4 linked regions of the Caenorhabditis elegans genome follow. The protein of the gene in region 1 interacts with the protein of each later gene in a biochemical or structural test. Each region holds a gene or a part of one and is shown in the gene's direction. Other genes may lie near its edges. The genes, in order: pmk-1, rnt-1, skn-1 and atf-2.

Region 1 (5,535 bases):
CAATCTGAAAATTAAAAAAAACATTGAATTTTGCGTTTTGTGGTAATATATTTAAAATATGAGCTTTTAAATTTATTTTCTGTTTCAGAGAATGGGAAAACTTCTTATAAGAACAGATTTTAACTTGTTGAACATTAAAATACTTTTTAATCTAAACAGTTTGATGTGAACAGTTGCAAATAACGCTTCAGTACATGAGTCACCAAAATTTCAATTCAACTATTATTCTGAAAAAATTAATGCATCCTTTTCAAAGAAGAAACACACGTTTTAGGCTGGTTAAATCTTACAACAGCTTTGTTTCAAATATTTCTTCCAAAAATTCTTTGATCTTTTTCTCCTAATACTCTTTTACATTCAAATATTTTCCTATTCTTGCAGTATATCCATTCGGCAGGGATTATCCATCGCGATTTAAAACCATCGAATATTGCTGTCAATGAGAGATGCGAAGTCAAGGTTTTTCTTAGTTTTTCTCAACTTTCTTTCCTAATTCTTTCATTTTTCAAGATTCTCGATTTTGGATTGGCTCGTGCTCAAGACGCCGAAATGACTGGATACGTGGCAACAAGATGGTACAGAGCTCCAGAGATTATGCTCAATTGGATGCATTATACACAGACTGGTGAGTAAATAAAAGAAATTGGTTTCTATGCACTTAAATAGTCACCTAAAATCTTTGAACTAAATTGTTAAATATCATATGATTTGAGGTTAACTTCTGACATTTTGAAAGCATGTTTCACCTGTTTCTTGTAGTTATGCTAAAACGTGTGAAAATATGAAGAATAAACTTTGACTTGATATTGGTATTTCTGGTTTCTGCAATTCTCTCTCTATTCCAACTTCCTATTTTTTCAAATAAACGAAAAACTTGATATATTTATCACATGAAACAAAAACATCATTTTTTTTTACTTCTAAAAATGTTACCAAAATATTGAATTTTTCAGTTGATGTTTGGTCAGTTGGATGTATTCTTGCGGAACTGGTATCCGGGAGACCATTGTTTCCAGGCGATGATCGTGAGTTTTATTCTATTCCTCTAATACTTTAAATATTTAAAATTTGCAGATATTGATCAGCTAACAAAGATAATGTCAGTTGTGGGTACCCCAAAAGAAGAATTCTGGTCCAAAATTCAATCAGAAGAAGCTCGAAATTATATTAAGTTAGTGTTGCAAATACTTCTGAAATTCAATTACTAGACTAGAACTGAAAAAAAAAATAAATCGTTTACGCAAAAATCTTTCAGAAATCGTTCTCCAATTATCCGTCAGGACTTCGTTACATTGTTTCCAATGGCTTCTCCATATGCTCTCGAACTTCTCGAAATGATGCTAATTTTGGATCCGGACAGAAGAATTTCTGTATCAAGTGCTCTTCGTCATGACTATCTTCGTGAATACTCTGTGCCAAATGATGAACCAGTTGCAATGGATACGGTAATAAATAGCATAGTACGAAATTTAAGTTCGCTTCTCTAAAAGTACTCCAATTTTCTTGTTAGGTCACAATTGATCCAGCTGAAGAACGAGCAACAACGTTATCCGACTGGCGAGAGTTAATTTGGAATGAGATTCGATTATTCCAAAACTCGGCACGAAGACTAAGTTTTGTAAGCTGTACGGATACGGAAGAAGAGCCAATGAAAATATGAAGTCAAATGTGTTCAAGTGCTAAAATATCTCAAAACTGTGGAATTTTCTTTTTTCTATATTGTATCTCCCTAAACTATTTATTTCACTAAAAATCAAATTTGTGTCCCTAATTCCTTGATCTCTAATTATCCAACAATCGATCTCAGATGTTCTTTTCCACAAAATCTCAATTTTTTCCTTTGAAACCATAGACTTGTGATTTACCTTAACTTTCTCGTTAATCCTATAAGTTGCCATGACCTCAGAGCCTCTTTTAATTTATTATTCATTTAGATTCATTTATCAAATTGAAGTGTATAAAGAATTAATGTAAATATTCAATTTTCTAAATACTCTTAAACATTTAATCGGTTCAAATTGCCGCTTAATTTTTATATTTACATTTATATTGGTTTTACGTACACAAAAAAATCATATTTTTTTCAAAATAATTACTTCAAATCTTACAAACATGATTCCAGGTAACGGAGCCAATGTTTCCACAGACAACAATGGATCATATACTTCATCCGACTCCACGAGAAGGATACTATGTCGTTGAGCTTAATCGAAGTGTCTGGGTTGTTCCAAATTATTATATTAACTTGACTCCAATTGGTACCGGAGCATATGGAACTGTTTGGTATGTCATTTCAACTGATTTTTACTTTATTTTTCGATTTTTAGTGCTGCTGAATGTACTCGCTCGGGGACTCGCGTCGCAATCAAAAAATTCAATCGTCCATTTCAATCAATAATTCATGCCCGTCGTACATATCGTGAACTCCGACTTCTTCGTTGTATGTGTCATGAAAATATAATTGATCTACTTGATGTCTTCACTCCAAATGAGAATGTAAATGATATCGAGGATGTGTATTTTGTATCAATGTTGATGGGAGCTGATCTATCAAATATTCTCAAAATTCAGCGACTCAACGATGACCACATTCAATTCTTAGTCTATCAAATTCTTCGTGGACTCAAATACATTCATTCTGCAGATATTATTCATCGAGATCTTAAACCATCAAATATTGCTGTTAATGAGGATTGTGAATTGAAAATTCTTGATTTTGGATTGGCACGTCAAACTGATTCTGAAATGACTGGATACGTGGCAACAAGATGGTACAGAGCTCCAGAGATTATGCTCAATTGGATGCATTACACGCAGACTGTTGATGTATGGTCAGTTGGGTGTATTCTTGCAGAACTTATCACTGGAAAAACATTGTTCCCTGGATCTGATCGTAAGACTTTTTTTCTACAATATTCCAAATATCTTCAATTTCCAAGCAAAAAACCAGAGTAAATATTTATGGTTGTTAACTTTATTGTACACTGGCGTTTCATAACATAGAAAAAAAATCATTTTGCTAAGTTATTCGTACCGTAGCAGGCGGAAAAAATTTATAATTAATTATTACCTCTTATTGCAAATTTTGGTAGTTTATCTCCAGTTGATTTGAGGATTTAGGCGCATTTGTAGTCGCGGTGTTAACTACCAAAATATGGACTAAGATAATTCAATAAAAACAAACAAAACAACAAAAAACAAAACACAAACGTTATTTTCTTTTGAAAATGTAGACTTTTCATTTAAAACTACTGTTTCAGACATCGATCAATTGACTCGTATCATGTCAGTAACTGGAACACCAGATGAAGAATTCCTTAAAAAGATCTCATCAGAAGAAGCTCGTAATTACATTCGAAATCTTCCAAAAATGACTCGCCGTGATTTCAAACGTCTGTTTGCTCAAGCAACTCCTCAAGCAATCGATCTCCTTGAAAAGATGCTTCACCTTGATCCAGATCGTCGTCCAACTGCAAAAGAAGCTATGGAGCATGAATATCTGGCTGCTTATCACGATGAAACTGATGAGCCAATTGCAGAAGAAATGGATTTGAATGATGATGTAAGGGCAGATACAATTGATGAATGGAAGAAAATTATTTGGGAAGAGATCAGTGATTTCCAGGTAATATATATTTACACTTGTTTTTGAACCAACTAATTATGCATAAAATCAAACGAAGGACACCCCCAGTGGGTTCATTTTGTGATCAAAATTCATTTCCGACTGTCAAAAACGTATCAATTTAAGCGGTTATTATTTAATTCGAATACTTTTGAAATTCTATAAATAACCTATACTACTCTAACGTTGAGTTACACCTAACCCAAACCTTTACACTTTGTTATGAAATTGATATGAATGATAAGGATGATTCAGTGCGGGGGGTTAAGTAGAAACGAGACATGAGTCATATTCAATTTCTTGGAAGCCAAATTATCAATGAAAAAAAAGTTGACTCAGGAAACTCAGAAAAAACGGAAATTATTCACTGAAATAATGAGATCATTTTCAGAAAAACGTGGCATTTGCTGACGAAGAGGAAGATGAGGAGAAAATGGAATCGTAGCATTGCTTTCTTTTTTGTATATCAGTTTTTCAATTTAATTCTTCAAATTTTTCAAAAAAAAAAAAGCCAACTGAGACATCTTACAATCCCAAGGCAGTTTCTTGCTCTGAAAAGGTTAATCTCACTTTCACAATGTGCTATCCCCCCACAAAAATAAAATCTTCCAAAACAAAACAAGGTAGCTCTAACTGATTCGCTTATAATTTTATTCTGTTTTCAAATTTGTTTTAAAAAACCAATTAGTATTTTTGTTTCAATTAAAATTTCTTAAATCAAATTCTCCAGATGTTTTGATCTATTAGGTGCTCGTTTCACCCCGCCCCTTGTTTTTTATGAAGCCTGTATAAGTGACCTTGGAAATACACAACCATCAAGCTTTTTAACTTTCATTATGGATTTCGAGAAATTTCAAAATCTTGATAGTTGAGTTTTTAAATTTCTAAAGTCATATTTTCCCCCTTTTCATTGCACTCTATGTTTATTTCGTTTTGTTCTCCAATGAACTTGATAAAATCATAAAAATTATCTTTTAATCTTTATTTTTAAGAATTTCTTTGTCAGTATCATATTATTACAAGTGCCACTTTAAGTGTTGAAAGTCAGTTGATACTGCCAAAATATACTGTATCCAACAAATAGTGTAACAAAATAGAATACCTTAGTTAAATGAATTCGCTCATCAAGCTAAACTTCTCGCTATCCGAGAAGATCAAAGCGAAAAACTGAGGTTCTCTTCAAAAAGTGTTTTATAGGATATAGCATTATTGCTTTTTTGGGTCCTTTGATATTTTAAAGAAACCTACACACGTTCACGAGTTTTTTGACAGAAAGTTACAGTTCTAAAAAGAAAGCAGTAGATAACACGCACGATGGAATAATTTTGCGGTGATTTCTTAGAACAAACGATGAGTAGATCAGTGAGCTGAATAATTTTCATTTGTAAAAAGGTTTTCACATTTTGCACTGGCTTTTCTTATAAAAATCATACTTAATTGGGCAAAACATTCTACATTCTTTCCATTTTTATTTTTGTTTCGTCTTAACATTCACATACAGATAAAACAGTAAGAATAATAAAAGTGACATAATAATGTGACATAATAATGTTGAAATATTATTTATATGTTATTTATGCCTATTCTCGATCAGCTTAACTGATTTGATCATTAATGAATCACGAGATGTCGGTGCTCAATTGAAATGACGACAAGTTCATGTCTCCGTCTATTTTCTCTATTCTGCCAGAAATTGTGACTGATAAGAGCTTGTTTTATAAAACTATTGAGTGTGGGTCAATGTCCATTCCAATTTTTCATTCTTTTCTATTTGACAACTTTCAATACGGAATCTTTTCCTTCCAATTTTTCTTTGTTTCCCCTTGTAATCCCTTGATTATAAAAAGGCTACAACTTATCAGTTGATTTACTTTTTTCTCATTACAGTCTGTATAATTAATATACTAGGA
Region 2 (7,694 bases), on another chromosome or scaffold:
ACCCCTTTCACCGCTCTCCATTTCACTTTCGCTCATTTCATTTTTTGCGGTCCTTTTCATTCCCCCACCTACTCAAAAGTCTACCTCATCTTTTCTTCATTCTTTTTTCGCTTTCAATTCATCGTTTTCAGTACCTGTCCTTTATCTTTTCGCCCCATCTACCGCCCGCCAACACCTTTCAAGCCACATACGCCCGCCCCCAATGTCATTTTGAAATTTACCTCTGATTTTCTGAAATACTCGATTTTCAACAAATAATTTGTGACAAGTTTGAAGTAAATATTTAGTTCAGAAAAACAAACTCACAGTTAATAAGTCAAACATGAGTTTCAGCTATGAACGAAGCTTTGAAACCGGAAATCCAAATAACTATGAGTTTTCTTAAAGTTATCATATAAAATATTTAAAGAGTCATCCTATAAGTTTTATAAGAAAAAATATTTCTAGTACCATCCCCTTACTCAAAATTACTTCTGTTAGAGCAATAAGAAAAATACCGTAATTTCATTGTTTCTTATCGCGAAAACTCGAATCTGAAATAACGAGAAATGGTGGACGATTTTGGAGAAATTATTTGATTACCTAGTGAAAAAATATTGTACGTTCTTACAATTAAGTTGTCTCCTGGGCATGTTTTGTTTGGTAATTTCCGGAAATTCCGATTTCAAAATATTTTCTAATTTGGTAACTGCCAAATTGTTAAATTACCACAAATTTTAAAATATTTAGAAAAGGAAAGGCAAAATCCAGCAACTTTTGAAAAGAAACAAAAATTGAAATTGTAAAGAATTAAATAAGATGCAAATATATTCCAACTCTATCACAACTTCCTTGTAGGTTATTAAACTTTTTTAGATTCATAAGTAAATGTTTGTCTACTTGGAAAATTGTTGAATATATAATTTTCTTCATTTTCTTATTTGAAGTCATTCATAAACTTTATTTGAATAGAGTTATCAATTTTTGAGAAGTTGGTAGTTTAAAGAATGTGTAAGCAAATAAAATAACTTCCTTTTTTCTCTGGAATTCAACAATCTTTTTCCCCTCGTTTCGTTCCGTTTTAGTAATTTTCAAATTCTTTAACCAATTTCATAGGTGTGTCTTCTTTGAACATATAAACACCCATTTTGAAACTTCGTTTCTTTCCAAACCACACTTCCGCTTTATCAGTTGAAAACGGAGCACAATCGTCTATTTATCTAGTTTTTGCGGTTGCACGGCCAAAAGACATCATTGGCTCGTTTCTGGCAATCTTGTTTTTATTTATTTGTTTACTAAATGTTATGTTAAAATTTATTCGACGAAAAAAATGTTTTTCTTTGAATTTTATGGATCAAAATATAATTTTAAGGCGGAGAAGGATCAGTGGAAATTTTGTCAAAAAACATATATGTATACTCGAAATGTTTTTTTTTTAATCTGAGTATCCAAATAAGACACACTAAAACGTTTCAGATTTGTCAGTTTTTTTTTCAGTCTTCTGACAGTTTTGGAAAAATACCTCGAAACATTTGGACCTTTCGAGGAATTCAGTATTATTGCATTCCTATAAAAAATAAAACTCGTAGAACATTTTTTGGTTGACTTCCAAAATTATTATAATGAGCATTTGTCACTGTTTGTCTGAAAATAATAAAATGCACTATGATATTTGGTCACAAAAAGCACTAGTAGTAATTTTAAATAATTTCCCTACTCCGCCTTGAAACCCCCATAAAAAATGTACATGAAGCTTTCAGATCTCTAATTTTTTTTTGTCATTATGATTGCAAGCAATAGTTTCATTGTTCTTGAATTTTCAAATACCTTCTATCACTACTCAATTAAATATGTTCATTTTCAGTGCTGGAAGTATTCTGGGAAACTAACAGAAATGACCAACGTCTTCCATCACGTTCGGAATTTTATAGAGCAACAACCTGCACCTGCTAAAACATTAGAGGTATGTATGGCACTTGAACACCTGTGATTCTTTATAAAAAAACTTCGAAGTCTTAGGTTTTCAATTTTTAAACTTTCTTAAGTCATTTATTCGGTTTTCGGAAGAAAAATCGTTTTTTAAAACCTGAAATATTGATAAACCTGGATTTTTTCAATTTTTCCTAAAATCATAATCTAGTCACTTTAACTTTAAAATTGTACCTGTATATCACAATAATTTTGAATTGAGCATTTCGATTCGAAATTGGGAAATTTTGGTTTTGTTACAGTGACTTTTAACAATTGTTCCTAAAATTTCCAAAAATCCGAACGTAAAAGAACTTACAATTTATCTAGTCTGTGAACGGAATTTCTACAGTTTTTTTTTAATTTTCGTTCATAACATTAGAAAAAGTTGAGTTAATTTTCCCGGCAAAGTTTTACAAATTTAAATGTACTTTTTTAAAAATTTCAAAACTCTTCCTTTTCTTGAGAGTATACGGTAGTTCATGACTCTAGGGTATTGATTTTCCATAGTCAATTATGAGCAGATTTTATCAAATCATCTTAAAGATTTACGAGACGGTATGAAATGAAAAATAAAAATTACACTACACCAAACTACAACTTATAGCAACATTTTTACATTTTGTTTTTGAACTTTTTTTTGCAAGACATAGAGTATATTGATTTTGCATCGGTTGGAAATTGAGTAATCAAATGAATACAGTAATCTTCATTCTCTTATCATAAAAGTATTCAGCTCAAACCACAAGCATTTCGATGATTTTGTTGAGTTTTAGAGGTTTCATTGAAATTGACTTTGTAATTATCAATCGAAAAATATTACATTTTATATAATGACGAACAAGAGTGTAAAAGAATTGTGAGATATTTTTACAAAACAATAAATTTTCAGAAATCATCATCTCCAAACATTTTATACACAGCTCTTCCGAAGCATTGGAGATCAAATAAATCATTTCAAGAACCATTTTATGTTGTATTACTAACGCCTGTTCCAGATAATACAGAAGGTAAATTATTGATTTTTCTTTTGATTCACTTTCGTATTTATATTTTTACTTTTTTCAAAACTCTCTACGATTTGAAATAAGTTTGGAATGATTTTTTTGGAATTTTGCCTTCTCTTGAATTATTGTTGAAATCATGTGATTGAGCATTTCTGAAAATGATAAAACAAACCTTATATTTGCATTGCTTTATGTTGAAATTTATATTTCAAAATAAATAAAAAAAGCAATTTCTTCACTGCTCAAATAATATTTTCAGTATCAATTTGGGCTGGAAATGACGAAAAACCATGCGAAGAAGTTCGAAATGAGAAAGCAAAAGTGCATCGACAAGTGGCAAAATTTAACGATTTGCGGTTTGTCGGGCGGTCCGGCAGAGGTGAGTACTGTAGCCAAATAACCGGTTGGCGCGGGTAGAAAAAAGGGGTAATGACCACATATTTGTGGGTATTAGTACAAAGTAGTCAACTGACAAAGAAGTACTGTATATGTAACTGCAATTGGTAGGTAAGTAGAGAAAAGTGGTGAGAGGTAAGAATGCGGGTAGAAAAAGTATGACACTTGGGAGACAAAAAAAAATGAAACTTCCTAAAATTACTAATAGTAAATTAAATAATTTAATTCCCTGATAAATACATTTCATATTCTACCTATTAGTTTCTATCAATCTATCAATTACAACGTTATGGGCTTTGAACTTCATTTTTCCTAAATTTATCAATAAATATAAAATAACCGATATGTAAAATTCCAAAGTTGAGCTCTGGGAAGTGCATGGAAATGCACGGTTTATTATAATAACGTATGGTGCATGTAACTTTTAGTTGTATCAAAAAACCAAAAAATTAATTTAACCTCTTATAAATCTATTGATTTGTGTTTTCTTATCATTTTTTCCACTTCTGTCTAAACATTTTCTCATTTTAAAAGCGCATACATTAACGGCCGTGTTCCACATTAAAATAATAAAATTTTCCAATAAACTGATGATTCCACCTGAGTAGTCTGACCGGAGCCATTATATTATCCGGAACATCAGTGTAACATAAAAATGCGCGACAAATGCCCGCATTTAATGGGATACTTTTTGTGAGGTGGCGGCGGCGGCGGAATGGAGAAGAACATCGTCGGCTCATAATAAAACTGCACATTTTCCAATCGTTTTTTGTGTCTTTTGCAGGCCGAAAATTCCATTTGACAATCGTTATACATTCGGCGCCGATGATGGTGGCCACCGTCAAAAATGTGATCAAGGTGAGTTTATCCGAATGGATTGTGGGAAGTTTTGTGGAATTCTAAGGAGAAGGGAATGTATTTATATGATATCATGTAGATTTTAAATGCGCCTATAGGTAATTGATAATTACATTGAGTAAGTATCAATCTTTTTTTGAATTAATTGGATAACTTATGATTCAAAAATTACCAAATATTTCCCTACCCAGAACCGAAGTTGTGCTATTTTTGAGGCAAAATAGATTTTTTGGCTGCTACAACTCGCAAATGAATAATACAAATTAAGGGTCTCGAAACGACTGATTTTTTTGGAATAAAAAGGAGCATGCACCTCTCAAGGGTACTGTAGTTTTACATCCACTCTAATTCTTATTTCTCTTCGAGCATCTGATTTTACAAAAAACAACGAAAAATCGAAAAAAGTTGTGACGTGAGAACTACATACTTTTTAATGAGCGTATTCCATTCTATAGCTAACATTTTAAAACATTTCCGTCGTGTCGAGACCCTGTAATTGCCACTCAAAATTTTGGAAGTCGACCAAAAAAAGCTTTATTCTTTTAAATTTTTTGTTGGGGCAAACATGAGAAATTGCTCAGAATCTCCCAAAAATGTTAGGAAATCAAAAAAAATTTTAAGCGTTTTTATGATATCAGTTATTTTATGAGTACAAATTTATACAAAATTCCCTCTTTAACTACTCCATCTTTAAGTTTTCTAAAACAATGTATAGATTTACCGCACATCAACTACCGTACTCTCTTATCTGATTATTAACCACGATGCGTCACCTGGTACACCTCTTTACAAATAAAAACTAGTTTTCAGAAAGCCTAGTAATCGGTAAATATTCTTATCAATTGCAACTTCTTATGTTGCATTGAGTTTTGGTTTATTTATTCAAATTTATTTTTTAAAAAAGGAAGCCAAATATGTTGGAATGGGAAGAAATGATGTCAGTTTAATACGATAAAACTTATTAATTTAATTATAGGTTACGGTTGATGGACCAAGGGATGCGAGAATACCAAAACCACAAGGATCTTTGAAACGGCAGGCAGAACAGCAGACAATATTCCCAAATGATATTATCCGAACGCCTGGACCACCGGTACGATTTTTTGATTTTTGTACAAACAAAATTTTGTATTAATTACTTAAGTATAGGGTCTCGAAATTACCAGAATTTGTTGAATAAAGCCTGAGAAAAAAAGGATGTGACTTTAAGAAGTACAGTAGTCTCCTTTTTCTGAAATCGAGGCAAATGAAAACGCTCCGCCCCCTCATGTTGGGTCTCGTTAGGTATTGGCGGGAATATCAGAAATTCAAACGTTTTCAATAACTTTTGCTGATTTCACCTGATTTCGAGAATTAAATTGTTTCTACTCTCAATTGACTCTAATGATTTTTACTGTGAAATAATGTTTTGAAAAGTACAGAAAAGTGAATAAGGGTTTTTATTTGATTATGAATTTTATGGCATCAGTTTCGATATAAAATTCATCCGATAATACCTAACGAGACCCAGCGTTTGGGGGCGGAGACTTTTGGCGTTGGAGCGCGCTCACACCCCCAATTTCAAAATTCACATTTTTCTGCGTCCCCAATATAAAAAATTCATTCATTTTTGAAATGTTTTTAATTTGAAAAATTCTGCAAAAAACTGTAGAAGAACATTCATGAAAAAATTGCAAACAATTTTTAAAAATTTAATTTTCAGATGCCAATGACAATGATTCCACCACCATGGTTTCCTTTACCAATGACTCAAACTTTCCCGTAAGTTTTTCGAATTTCACATTATTCATAAAATAATTTTTATATTTTTCAGCCCATCATTTTTTCCGCTTATCTCTCCAGGACCACATCCTTCTATCTCAGCTGCACTTTGGAAAATTCACAGCGAATCGATGAAAACTCCGATTAAACAAAAAGTTGAACAGGAAAATGGTTAGATTATTTTTTCGGAAATAAATATATATATATAATTTATTAATTGCAGTATCCCTTAATACGTCTACATGCCTATCATCTCCATCAATTTTTATAACTCCAACTTCTGATGATCGGAAGTTAAAACGACCATCTTCTCCTCGTTCAATCACAAAATCATCAGAAACTTCAATTAATTTAATTCAAGAAACTCCGGAATCTGTAGAATCAAAAAGACGAAGAAATGTATCAATAACTTCATCGAATAGTTCTTCTCCGACTATTTGGAGGCCTTTTTAATCTTAAAAATATTCATTATTTTACCACAACACACCAAATTTCTCTCAATTTCCAAATCTCAATTGTTTCCTACCTCTTCAGTCACTTTTCTCAATATTCTCGTTTTAAAACACGTTCAACGGGTTCATTTAACGGTTTTCAACCTTTTTTGTATAATAATACAAGTTTTGATCTAAATCGGAATAGATTATCATCATATCTAATAAAGTTTCAGGTTTGAATTCAACTAGACAACAAGTCGTACTATCGAAAAAATTTTATTCGAAAAAAAAATTAATGCGCAATCTGCGAGAAAATATGCAATTGGGGAGGATGTGAAAGAGTACTTAAGATGAATAATTTTATAAGTGATAAAAAAGATAAAACGTTACCTTCGATTCTTCTTGTATACATTAAACGAGAGGGAGGTAAAACGCAATGCGGAGAGTTTAAATCTACAGATGGGACCAAGAAAATGGCATACGAATTGATTGCGAATGACAAGGAAAAATGGCATCAGATTCGGATAAGAGTTGGGAGATGGATGATTAGAAACACAACAAAATAACAAAATTGATTAAAAAAACAAACAATTAAGAAGGCCCAAACTAAACGCTACAGGGGAAAACAAAAAAAGATGTTACAGATGCAATATGATTCACAGGGAGTTTTCTCATTCATAGTTTTCAGCAAACATAAACTACGTTGATTATTTCTACAGAACTACGAGCGACGGAACTTATATAAAATATTCGAATAGTAATGAGAACATGGCAATTTTTGATGGAAACAGGCAAGCGCTTACTGGCCGTAATTGGGAGAGCGCATCATTGCAGAAGGATGTTGCTGAGGGGGAATAAAGCCATAATAAAGGTTAGCGCCATAGTATGGTTGCTGAGGTTGCGAAATGTTGCTAGATGTCGGGTGGTTTGGAGAACCGTAGTATGTTGGTGGTGGAGTTAGGAATGCAGCCGAGTTGTAGTATGCTGGCAATGGAGAACCGTCGGACACACCTGAAATTTGAGAAAATGTAACAATTGAGTAAAATAATATGCTCCGCTTATAAAGTATTGAAATATTCCACTCACTCTTTTGTGGAGATATGACAGGAGTTGAATTGAAGAAGACTGTTGGCGGAGTCGAAAACTCTGTGAAGCTTCTTCTATTCTTGTTGATCTCACTTGGTGATGGTGTCATTGGTGGCTCAAAAACGGCTGGTTTCAACAGTTGTTGACCATTTTGAATATATCCATAGAGAGCTGACAATGTTTGTGCAGGTGCGCCGACGATGAT
Region 3 (5,432 bases), 2.5 Mb from region 1:
ACCTTTAAGGCCTACTGTAGTTCCCAACTCCCATTTTTCAACCGATTTACGTTAAAAAGGTATAAAACCAACCCAAATCTGAAAGAAACTAGTGAAAAAGAGTGATTTTTCCTAGTTTTCCGCCCGTTTCTACGAAATTTGGCGTGTTTTTACATGTTTTTTAATAAATTTTATTTAAATAATTGGGTGAACACTTGAGGAGTTGGGAAATACCGTAGGCCTTAAAGGCGCACGATCCCTTATGAGTTTGAGTAAATCGGGTTTTTTAAAGTATTTTTGGAGCAAAACTGTAAAATTTCACATCTCGTTAAGAATGGATTTACAATATTCATTTTCCGGTATAAAGATCGATTTTATAATTTTTTGGTTTCAGAAACACCCTAATTTTTATACATTTTTCAGGATCGAAACAAAAATTTCAAACCACCATATCAAATTCATGCTGATTCACTGGTTGACAATGGTGTCAAATACAATGCAGTTATGACACTCAACACAGATGTTCGATGGACTCGTGCAATGGCTCTAATGCTCACAGATCTCAAAGCTGCGTGTGCTCAATGCGATGCTCTCAGATCGCCTATTTAGTGATTTCACGGGATCAAATGTAGAATAACATTTTCAACGCTAGAAATTTTTTTTTCAATTTCTCAGGGACGCTTCTTTAAAAAATATTCAATTTTCATTGTGATTTCTAGTTTTTTTTTTCAAATTTTCTGCTGGAATTCTGCCTTTTCCCCAAACTTGTACCATATGTAAATATATTAAAAGTAAAGATTTTTATTGCAGTCTTGTGGAGGAAATTTTGTTATTTTTTGTTGATTGGTTTTGAAACCAATTCTGTTATCTAAAATTTGAATTTTTCCTAATTTATTTTCTCTTTCTTGTTGCTTTACTTGGTTTAATGATTATTAAAATTTTCTGAAACTGTGAAATCAAGTTCCTACCACTAAACTTATTTTAATCTGATTTTACTAATATTGCCTCAAAATTTTCGAAAAATGTATAACTGAAAATATCGAAAAATAAGGTCCAAATTTTGCTAAATTCTGGATTTTTTTAAAGCTAAAACACCGTTTTTTTTTTATTTTCGACCAAAATGTGTGGAAAATTTGAATGTTTTTTCGATTTTTCCAGTCATAAACGTTTTTGAAATTATTTAAATAAATATCACTATGAAATTCGGCACTTTTGTGCCAGATTTAGTTTTTTTTAAGCGAAAACCTCCCACAAACTATATTCCTCCTTTAATTAAATTTGAAAAAAAATACTGTAGGTTTTTGTAGACAATACAATTCCCCAAAAACGAAGTTTCTAGTTTTTTCTAGAATAGTTCTTGTAATTCCGAAAATTCCCGTTTTCTGAATTCTAGAAAAAAAATTGTTGTAACTCAAAATATTGCAGAGAAGGCCTCGTGTCGTCGTTCACGCGTTTCTCCTCCGTCGATCGGACTCTGGTCACTCAGCCGCGAGTCCGTGTCCGAATATTGTTGAGAGAAGTGTTCCACTCATTCTCACAGGATCTATCATAATCCAGTCAGTCGATGGGCGGTTCATCACGCCGTCAGCGAAGTACGTCGGCGACGAGACGAGACGATAAACGAAGACGAAGACAGTGCTTCTCTTCGGTAGCCGACGACGAAGAAGAGACGACGTCAATTTATGGAGTGTCGGTTAGTTTTTTTTTTGTTGGTTTTATCAAGTAAAAAGACCTGAAGAATATCATCATTTCACGGGAGAGCATGACTTTTCGTATCACTTTTCCAGTCAACTCTTGCAATTCTGATTCAATATTACTTGCATTTACAATTTTTGTTTTCTTCATGTTCTAAATCCAACTTTAACTAAGATTTGTAGATTTTTTCCCAAGATTTTTGGCTCAAAATTCCAGCTTTAACCTTAAACATGGCTTTTCTCTTCACGGATTACTTAATTTCTTCAGAAACAAGAAAAAAAACTAAAAGAATAACCAAGATCTGAGTGGAGCCTATTTTTAGCTTTTTTAAGCTTTTTCATCATCTACCTATATATTATTCTTGGAAGTTTCTATTAATTCGAGTAGACTAAAATAGGGAAAATACACCACAATTGAGAGTCGAGTTTTCAAAAATATGATTTTTCAAGTTCAAATTCAAACATTTTTTCTTATTTACACCCGGTTATAGATCATTTCTCAAAGACCGCGTAACATATTTACTTTGAACAGCTTTTCCTTCCCAAACTCCATATCAGACCACCTTCTCCTCTTATCACTTCAGTCACATCACTCTCGTTATCTAGGTCTCCCGCATTGTTACGTGTTAATCCCAACTATCTCATGTAGAATGTCACAGTTGCCTCGTTGTCTGAAACTATTCACGGCTCATTCTGTCTCTCTCTCTCTCTCTCTGTTGCAATAATGATGCCGGAACGACTATGTTCGTAAATGCCAGAGGACGAAGTCGAAGTCCTCTGAAAAGTAGAATTTCAAAAATTCAAGAAAACAATGGAAAGCGTGATCTTTGTATTTCAGAGCCGCTAAGAAGACCGTTCCCTTCCGAAATCCTTCTTCCGCCAGATCATCAGATTTTCAGATATTTTCCAATCTCTTCAATCTTAAACTTAGCCTAAAATATTACTGTCTGTACATTGTCCTCCATATATGTATATTATACAAACATCTTGCCGGAGTCGCTCCAAAATCGCAAACCCCCGATTGCCTATATGCCAGCTTGATAGCAGCATTACCATCCTGATAGACACCCCACGAGGCTCTTGATTTTTCGAACTTTTTCTGCTACGCCGACAGCGACTATCAACAACGGTTTTCCACCACCACGTACAATGTTTGATCAAACCGTTTGATTAAATTGACGCTCTCGGTGCAAGATGATATCATCTGGAAATGAGACGTTTAAAACCGAAAAAATGACTTGAATCATATCTGTGGTCTGATTGTGAATGGGTGCGGTTGACATGGTTAGTTGGGTTTTTGCACGCAATGGATCAAGGAATTGGTATAAGTTGAAATTCGGATCACAGCTTTCGATTTGTAAAAATTGAAAGTATGATTATTTATTGACAGAATATGAGTAGAAGCTTTCTTCTACTATATTCTAATTGAATTGCAATGTATTTGACATGCTGAACCTATTCGTTTTCACGGTTGAGGTCAAGAAATATAATTCTGAACATCACGTTCTACGAGAATTCATAAACAGCCAAATATGATGTCAAACTCACAGTACACTCAAACAGAAAGATTGAGTTCTTTGAGTTCCGACGGAACTACTATATTCTAAATTTCGCGATTTTTGATCATAATATCCTGAAATAAACAGGATATGTTCTGATTAATTGAGATTTTCAACCAAATATCAGACTATTATGCGCTTGTTTTTATTTTTGTTGTAGTAATAATAAAAATAAAAACACGTGGTTTGTAGCAGGTTTAGTATCATAATTATTTTTAGCCAAGATTTCGAAGAATTCTGATCACATATCAACAGGGAAGAAGGTGTGTGGATAATTCAATTTTCCCATGCATGTCTGACGCAGGTGGTTTGAATAATTCAGTTGTAGCTCAATTGTAGATGTATCCGATTTCCGTGTGCACCCAAACCTCTCTTTTTTAGAATATCGAAAATCTTTTCTTTTTCTCGTCAAGTGATATCTTTTGCATCTCTCATATATTTCTTATCAGTCTTGGCACAAACTTCAAACTGATATGCTTTATTTTTGAATTTTTGGTTCCTTTCCAAAAAAAAACTTGGATTTTTGGAAACGTGAAAACCAGCACGCATTTTGAAATTAGGCGTTGAGAAGAAATTAAATCAAAACAAATTTTTTATTCTCAGCAGTACCACCAAGCATTAAGTTTATTGAATAATTGTTTTAAACTGTTCTCTCGGTTTCGTGAGTTTCAGTTTCAATCGTTTTTCAAAGTATTCTGTACTAGACTTGTAACTTTTTTCGAAAAATATATCAACTTTTTGAATCAAAAATTAATGTTAAAATGTAGGAAAATGCTCGTTCGGTTTGAAAAAAAAATTTTTTTTGAAAACTTTTTAAAAGACGGCACAATTGAAAGTCTTTTTCAAACTTTTCCAACAAAAATACATATCATTTTCAGATTGAGCGAGCATTTTCCTACATTTTTATATTCATTTTTGTACGTTTGCCGAAATATTTTTCCGCACAGTCCTGCTCTGTACTACTTCTGTGTGGATTCATCAGAATTTAAGGGCAACGTGCTATGAAAAATTGCATCAACATCCACACACACATTCTCCAGATCTTCGGTTTTTCACCTCCCACCGTCTACTACCTGCCTGCAACAATTCGGTCGCACTCGCCCTCTCGCTACAACATTCACCTGCCGTTGTGTAGTCGTTTTGTAGTCGTCGTCTTTGGTGCAAGCGGCGAGCGACAATGCTGGTCTTATCAGCTTTCGTTGACTTCGTTACGGCCCCCACAGCAGCCTTCTCTTCTAGTTTTTCATTTAATTGGTCAATTTTCTGCGCACGTTAATTTACCGCGCACCAAGATTTCGGATCAAAAAGTTGCGATTTTCGATCTCCACAAGTCTGTGTCTATCTGTGTTCAGGCAAATAGACACGGCGGTCACAAAATTTTTTTACCTCTGCGTCTTCCCATTGGACATGCGCTTTCCAGCATTCTCTCGTACACCCTGCGTGTCTACAGTTTCAGCCATCTCTCCTCGTCTTGTGATCTACTCTATCGGCGCGCTCTCTCGTATTTGTCATCATTTCCATGGCGGCAAGTTAGCACAAATCGTAGAGAACTTAGAGAAATAAGGACACCGAGTGCACTGTTTCGATGGTTTTCTTTCGTTGTCTCTGGAAATCGCCTTTCTTTCTGTTTTTTGACGCCATTTTTCACTTGGTAACCTCAACACGACAACTAACTTCTTGTGTTTACTGTTTTTGGAATCAATTGTCTTTTATTTTTTTTGCGGTTTTGGACCGCCCAGAAATCGGAGTTCTTTTTTGAATTGTTGATTGTCAGGCGCCTTTGAATGTATGTTTTTCTTTCAATTCCAGTTCAATCAGGCACCTGACCCAAGCACTCTCAACTCTCACTGATAGCAAGTTTGAACTCGAATTTTCGGCAAATGTTTTAGTTGCCCTTATCTAGAATTATATTCTCACTCACTCGTATAAGCTTTCTCGCTTTTTCATGATTTTTTGTCGCATTTCAATCACTCGAAACTGACTTTTGTTTTAGTTTTCACGCAATTCTCGCTTTTCTCCCAATTTCAATAGTTTTTTTGTAGATTTCTCGACTCAATTCTGCAAGTTCCTTAAAAACCCGTATATCTACAGTAACCCGTTAGCACTTCTATTGATTTTTCAAAAAAAAACCTTTTCTCGTTTATTTGACCAACTTTTCTTGTTTGCTCTCTAGCTTTTTTTGTTCTGATCCAGTCGTCTC
Region 4 (4,855 bases), on another chromosome or scaffold:
TTTCATGTGAAAAGCTAAAACTTCACTTGTTCCAATTTAAAAGTTCTAAGAAAATAACAGTTCTTCTTGACAATCCTAGATTCAAGTAAAGATACCTTTATCTAAAATTGAATTTCAATTTTCTCTCCTCTTTTTCCAATTTCATTCACTTTCCTTCCCATAGCCTGCATACTTTCACCGACTCGTTCCCGAACGATATGATCGTGCTAGCCACTCTCTCTTTCTCGTATCGAACTGCGATCTTTCAGTTCCCAACAAGAATACCATCATTTCAACACCTCACTTTCGCAATCAACTACCAAAAGTGCACTCTCACTCTGTTACTCTACCTAACCGTATTATCCGCTCTCCATGTAAAACTACTGAAGTAGACACAGCAAGGGACAGGCACACACTCACTGGTCATCAAAATCATCAAATGATGCAGTGAATTTGGCTGTTCTGGTTTGCAGACAAAAAAGTTTTGGAAGCGGTGCGGGAGGATAGTGGACACTGTTTGTGATTCACTTCTCGTCATTCTCCGAGCCTTACAAACAAACAAAAATAGCTCTCTCTTTTCGCTGACGATTGTCCCCCAACACGGGCGGCGGTTATTTTGGCTCTCGCCACTCTTTTTCAAGGTGCACAATCAAAAACAAACAAGTCCAGCCCGATTTCGCGAATTTGTTCATCTAGTTCAACGCATTTTTTTCATTTTGAATACATTTGCTTGTATCGTTTCCGAGTTTCTTGAACAATTACTTTCAGAATTGAGTATCATTTTTTGTGTTCAGCAGTGAAAAATAACCAAAATTTCTCTATCAGGCTTGCACTCACATTGGTCATATTTTACAGTCCTGACCTAGAGTGCGTTTATGAATTTTTCAAGACTTTTGTTTATCTAAACCTACCAATTTTTTCTTCGTTATCTTTTTCAACTTTATCTTTTAGCCGTATCTCATTATTCACTTTCCACCCAGTAGCTTCATCCTCTTGTCTTCCAATTCTCCGCAAAGTTCACCTACCCTTTTGTACTAGTGACCTGATGCGACGAATTCAACCATTGACCTCCTCCTCCTTCTCACACTTAGACACACATACATCCGTAACCCGAAGCAGCGAAAGTTAAGCATGAAAGCGAAAGGAAAGTGAAAACAATTAGGAAAAGTCGGCATCATCATGGATCGGAGGAGGCGACGCGTTGAAGTCGTTGCGAACGATGAAAAATGATTAGGAGACGGGTCGAAGAAAAAGAGAAGGGACTGCAATGAAGAGAGAAGGGGGCGAAAGTCGGAGGGGATATCCTGTTCTTCGACTGGTTTATTGTAGAGACTGAGAGTGAGAGGATCTACCAAGCATTGTCCGAAACATTGACCATGGCTAACTGGTTTGCAAGGCGCAAATAGGTCAACTGAGGAGAGGCACAACACCGCTTAATTGTTGCTAACTGCACTCTACACCTACCATATGAACACACCTGTACCAGATATACTTTGTTTTCTCACCTTTTTTTAAGTTAGTGATTTTCTGGTTGTCTAGATACTCAGGGATTAGCATTGCGTAAGATCATCTTCACTGAAACCAAAAACTGAATAATTTTTGTATACACATTGGTCAATTAAAATGGCTTACAATTAATTAATAATATCTGGAAACAGTGAACACATTGAACTTCTGATTGTGCTGAATCTCCAAAGATCGTGTCAATTTCAACTCAAAAAGACGTATTTGTCCTTACATCAAATAGGTTGACAGCTTCTTTTAACTCTACTAACTTTCCATTTCAATACACCATGTGTACTAACATTTTGAAGTCAAAATATAAATGTTGTGTCTTAATTCATTTTGAAAGATTTTGGTATTCATATTTCTTTCACCGATGTTCTTTTCTTTCAAATTTCGTACTTCTATATTCTTGATTTTCTTCTTTTGTTTGACTTTTAATCATCTTATTTTTATTTTTCAGATGGACGTCGACTCGGCATCATTGTCACCGTCCTCCAGACTTTCGGTGGTTTGTTCGGCATCCGCCGAGTTCTCATCGAGCTCGTCGGATTCGTCGAACTTTTCAGAAGGATCTCCCCCGGAATCTAGAAGGTTTGAATTTTTAACAGTTTGATGAAACTTTTGAAAGTTTAAATACTTTTCGACATTGATAACTATTTTTCCAGAAATTCCGTAAACGAAAGTGTAATAAAAGATGAACATTACTGGGAAAGGCGACGGAGAAATAACGATGCATCAAGAAGAAGTCGAGAAAAGCGAAGGCAAAACGATCTAGCAATGGAAGAAAAAATAATGTTACTTTCCGCCGAAAACGAACGGTTAAAATCTCAGTTAGGAACGACACCAATTCCACAACCATCAGTAACAGAGCCTCCAACATCTCTGATTATTCCCCAAGTTGCAAAGAATCTTTTCCCAGCGGGTCCAATAGCATCTTTGCAAGCGAGTTCAATGCTTACTGTTCCATTGCTCCAGGCAGCTTCGCATATTCCATCAATGTTGCAGCTTTGTCAACTACAGCCAACAACTATTCAGTCACCGGTAAGTTATTTTATTGAACTTGGAAATATCGAAATTGTGATGATTTAAATAAAATAAATTAACTCGTGGAAAAATATTTACTATTACAAAAACGTCTGAACCGCATATAAAGTTCCATTGTCATTTTTTGGCAACACAACTCAGATTGTCAACAATTTAATGAATACATTGACAGCTGAATGCGTGACCTAGAAAGACAGATGTCCCATAACGTTTTTCCATGTTTGTAGGTCTATGCGAGCACTCAACAACCTGCATCAACGTCAGCATCATCTTTATTCTCTTCATCGTCTTCATCTGCATTTCATCCTTTTCGACCATCAGAAAGTGCTCAGCAGAGTTTTCCATCGAGTAGCGTAATTGTGAAAATTGAACGAAGAAGTCCAGATTCATCAACTGACGTGAATATGCCTCAACCTCAGTTACAGCCTGGATCTAGCGTTATTCAACAAAGTAAGTCGTTGTTTTTGAAAGTAAAGAGCATATTTTCATTTCACTAGTATTAATTGAAACTATAATCTAAAATTTATTTCAGTCGGTCAGCCTGCTCCATCAGGTACGCCTCAACCAGTAATCCAAGCTGTTCAACAAGGACCATCCCTGCTATCTGCTCTTCTTTCACAGCGAAGACCTTCTCCTACAGTACCACAAAGCCGAACGGAACATATTTCGGGGCTAAATTCCCCTCCAAGACATACTGGAAACAAATCAGACTGTGAAAGTGTATCGTCTTCAGCATCTTTCTCTCCATCGCATTCTTCGGAAGATCACTCAAATTATTCGAACAAATCGGTAAGTTTTTTTAAAGGAATTGAAAGAAGACATTTTTAAATACATGTCAAATATTTCAAAAAAAAACTTTCAGCCCCAATATGTGGACAGACGTCGAAGGAACAATGAAGCCGCAAAAAGATGTAGAGCAAATAGACGAGCAGTATTCGAATACAGGTCACGACGAGTTCAGGTAAGTTGAAACTAATTTTAATAGAAAACATAAAATTTTAAAACTTAGATATAAATTTATTGAATCAATTATTACTTAACATTTTCAGCTCTTGGAAGGTGAAAATGAAGATCTTCGTACCCAAATCGAAACGCTAAAAGCAGAAATAGCCCACTTCAAATCAGTTTTGGCTCAAAGAGCATCAGTTGTTACTGCCCTTCACCCTTGATCCCATTCCATTTTCTTATTTTTGACTAATACGGATAGAAAGCCAATTTTCTTCGTCTTCTCGCTAGATGCCCCCCAATCAAAGTCTTTCGCTCTCAAAAAACCCTTCCTCTCTTTCTGCAATACTTCCAATCATTCATGTGCAATACTTTTTAACTTTAAATGTTTCATTAATTGTTTCTAATAAAACCAATGTGTTATTATTTTTGATTTGCTTCCTGTACAAAAAAAGGTGAAACAACAAAAAAAAGTAAAGTCTGCAAACGATTTTTAAAATCCACCCGTCGCTTGCCAGAAAACGGAAACTTTTCAGAATGATATAACTGAATCAGAAAATTGTTTTATTAATGTTTCATATATACAAATTATTATGAGAAAGTGAATTTAAAGTTGAGCATTGATAATTATTTGATTACTTTTCCATTAAACAGAACTTGTTTGCCCTTTTCGTTGATACTCCATGTAAATGTCATGTATACTTCTGAAAGGACATGAAATATAAAATATTTCCTAATTTTATGCAAATCTTGACCCACTTTTCCGTTTCGATGACGGCAACAGACGGTGGCGGAATGTCATAAATTGGCGCCTTTTTTGAATTACGATAAAAATAGAAGGCATTCAGGCCTAGATCCAGAAGTCCAAATACTAGAACCAAAAAGCAAAATACTGAAGCAACTTGGAATGTTCCAGTGGAAACTGATTGATAACATCCGTATTGAGTTATTGCTCGGGAGTCACAACCATCATTGGCAATTAAAAACAGAATTGCAGAGACGAGAATGGAAAGAGCAAAAACAAAAGTGAATAGACATCTCTGGAATTTTTTGACAGTACAAATCTACGCGTTATCAACATTAAAAATAAAACGAATTAAGAAGTTTGGGTTTTTTTTCAAACTTAAAATCTTTTAAAAATTACCTTAACTATGGTTGTAGTTTCAACATCCCATATAAATAATATAGACACCGCTGAAGCTGAAAACAGTAGTGCAATGATTACGAATAGCTGAAACAAAACATTAAGTTCTGACCTTGAAGATTATTATAGCTTACCAGTCCAAATACGGCTGATACTCGGTTAGTCCAATACTGGCTGAGTCCAATTATGAATATTACAATAATACAAAAAATCTGAAATTATAACTGTTTTATTTCT

Evidence for each region.
Region 2: of the proteins of pmk-1 (region 1) and rnt-1, one has a biochemical effect on the other in vitro, tested with the Caenorhabditis elegans proteins (one study listed by BioGRID).
Region 3: of the proteins of pmk-1 (region 1) and skn-1, one has a biochemical effect on the other in vitro, tested with the Caenorhabditis elegans proteins (one study listed by BioGRID).
Region 4: of the proteins of pmk-1 (region 1) and atf-2, one has a biochemical effect on the other in vitro, tested with the Caenorhabditis elegans proteins (one study listed by BioGRID).

The regions. Positions count from the first base shown.
Region 1 is NC_003282.8:8,146,672-8,152,206, forward strand, and holds pmk-1 (Mitogen-activated protein kinase pmk-1), read left to right. Parts: upstream 1-2,122; 5' UTR 2,123-2,134; coding exon 2,135-2,283; intron 2,284-2,327; coding exon 2,328-2,893; intron 2,894-3,260; coding exon 3,261-3,625; intron 3,626-4,016; coding exon 4,017-4,070; 3' UTR 4,071-4,595; downstream 4,596-5,535. Other genes in the region: Mitogen-activated protein kinase pmk-2, read left to right, coding at 382-459, 511-625, 954-1,025, 1,075-1,171, 1,256-1,460, 1,511-1,660. UniProt on the Caenorhabditis elegans protein: Serine/threonine kinase which responds to activation by environmental stress and pro-inflammatory cytokines by phosphorylating downstream targets. As part of a MAP kinase signaling pathway, plays a role in modulation of lifespan and immunity.
Region 2 is NC_003279.8:5,781,968-5,789,661, forward strand, and holds rnt-1 (Runt-related transcription factor rnt-1), read left to right. Parts: upstream 1-1,843; 5' UTR 1,844-1,873; coding exon 1,874-1,942; intron 1,943-2,674; exon of another isoform or gene 2,675-2,695; intron 2,696-2,839; coding exon 2,840-2,957; intron 2,958-3,213; coding exon 3,214-3,333; intron 3,334-4,134; coding exon 4,135-4,208; intron 4,209-5,184; coding exon 5,185-5,301; intron 5,302-5,910; coding exon 5,911-5,969; intron 5,970-6,021; coding exon 6,022-6,140; intron 6,141-6,192; coding exon 6,193-6,422; 3' UTR 6,423-6,643; downstream 6,644-7,694. Other genes in the region: cpb-3 (Cytoplasmic polyadenylation element-binding protein 3), read right to left, coding at 7,203-7,414, 7,490-7,694. UniProt on the Caenorhabditis elegans protein: Transcription factor. Binds to regulatory DNA sequences in order to modulate transcription; negatively autoregulates its own expression, perhaps dependent upon CBF beta homolog bro-1.
Region 3 is NC_003282.8:5,656,496-5,661,927, reverse strand, and holds the start of skn-1 (Protein skinhead-1), read left to right. Parts: upstream 1-1,543; coding exon 1,544-1,672; intron 1,673-4,362; exon of another isoform or gene 4,363-4,512; intron 4,513-4,557; exon of another isoform or gene 4,558-4,610; intron 4,611-5,432. Other genes in the region: bec-1 (Beclin homolog), read left to right, coding at 403-588. UniProt on the Caenorhabditis elegans protein: Transcription factor. Required to specify the fate of ventral blastomeres in the early embryo, and postembryonically for the development of the intestine. Directly regulates expression of zygotically expressed med-1 and med-2 to direct mesendoderm development.
Region 4 is NC_003280.10:8,750,041-8,754,895, forward strand, and holds atf-2 (Transcription factor atf-2), read left to right. Parts: upstream 1-1,945; coding exon 1,946-2,076; intron 2,077-2,150; coding exon 2,151-2,526; intron 2,527-2,756; coding exon 2,757-2,979; intron 2,980-3,061; coding exon 3,062-3,318; intron 3,319-3,391; coding exon 3,392-3,490; intron 3,491-3,578; coding exon 3,579-3,698; 3' UTR 3,699-3,893; downstream 3,894-4,855. Other genes in the region: K08F8.7 (MARVEL domain-containing protein), read right to left, coding at 4,121-4,178, 4,234-4,514, 4,619-4,705, 4,753-4,830. UniProt on the Caenorhabditis elegans protein: Acts as a transcription factor that recognizes and binds to the sequence 5'-[GA]TTA[CT]GTAA[CT]-3', a sequence present in many promoters.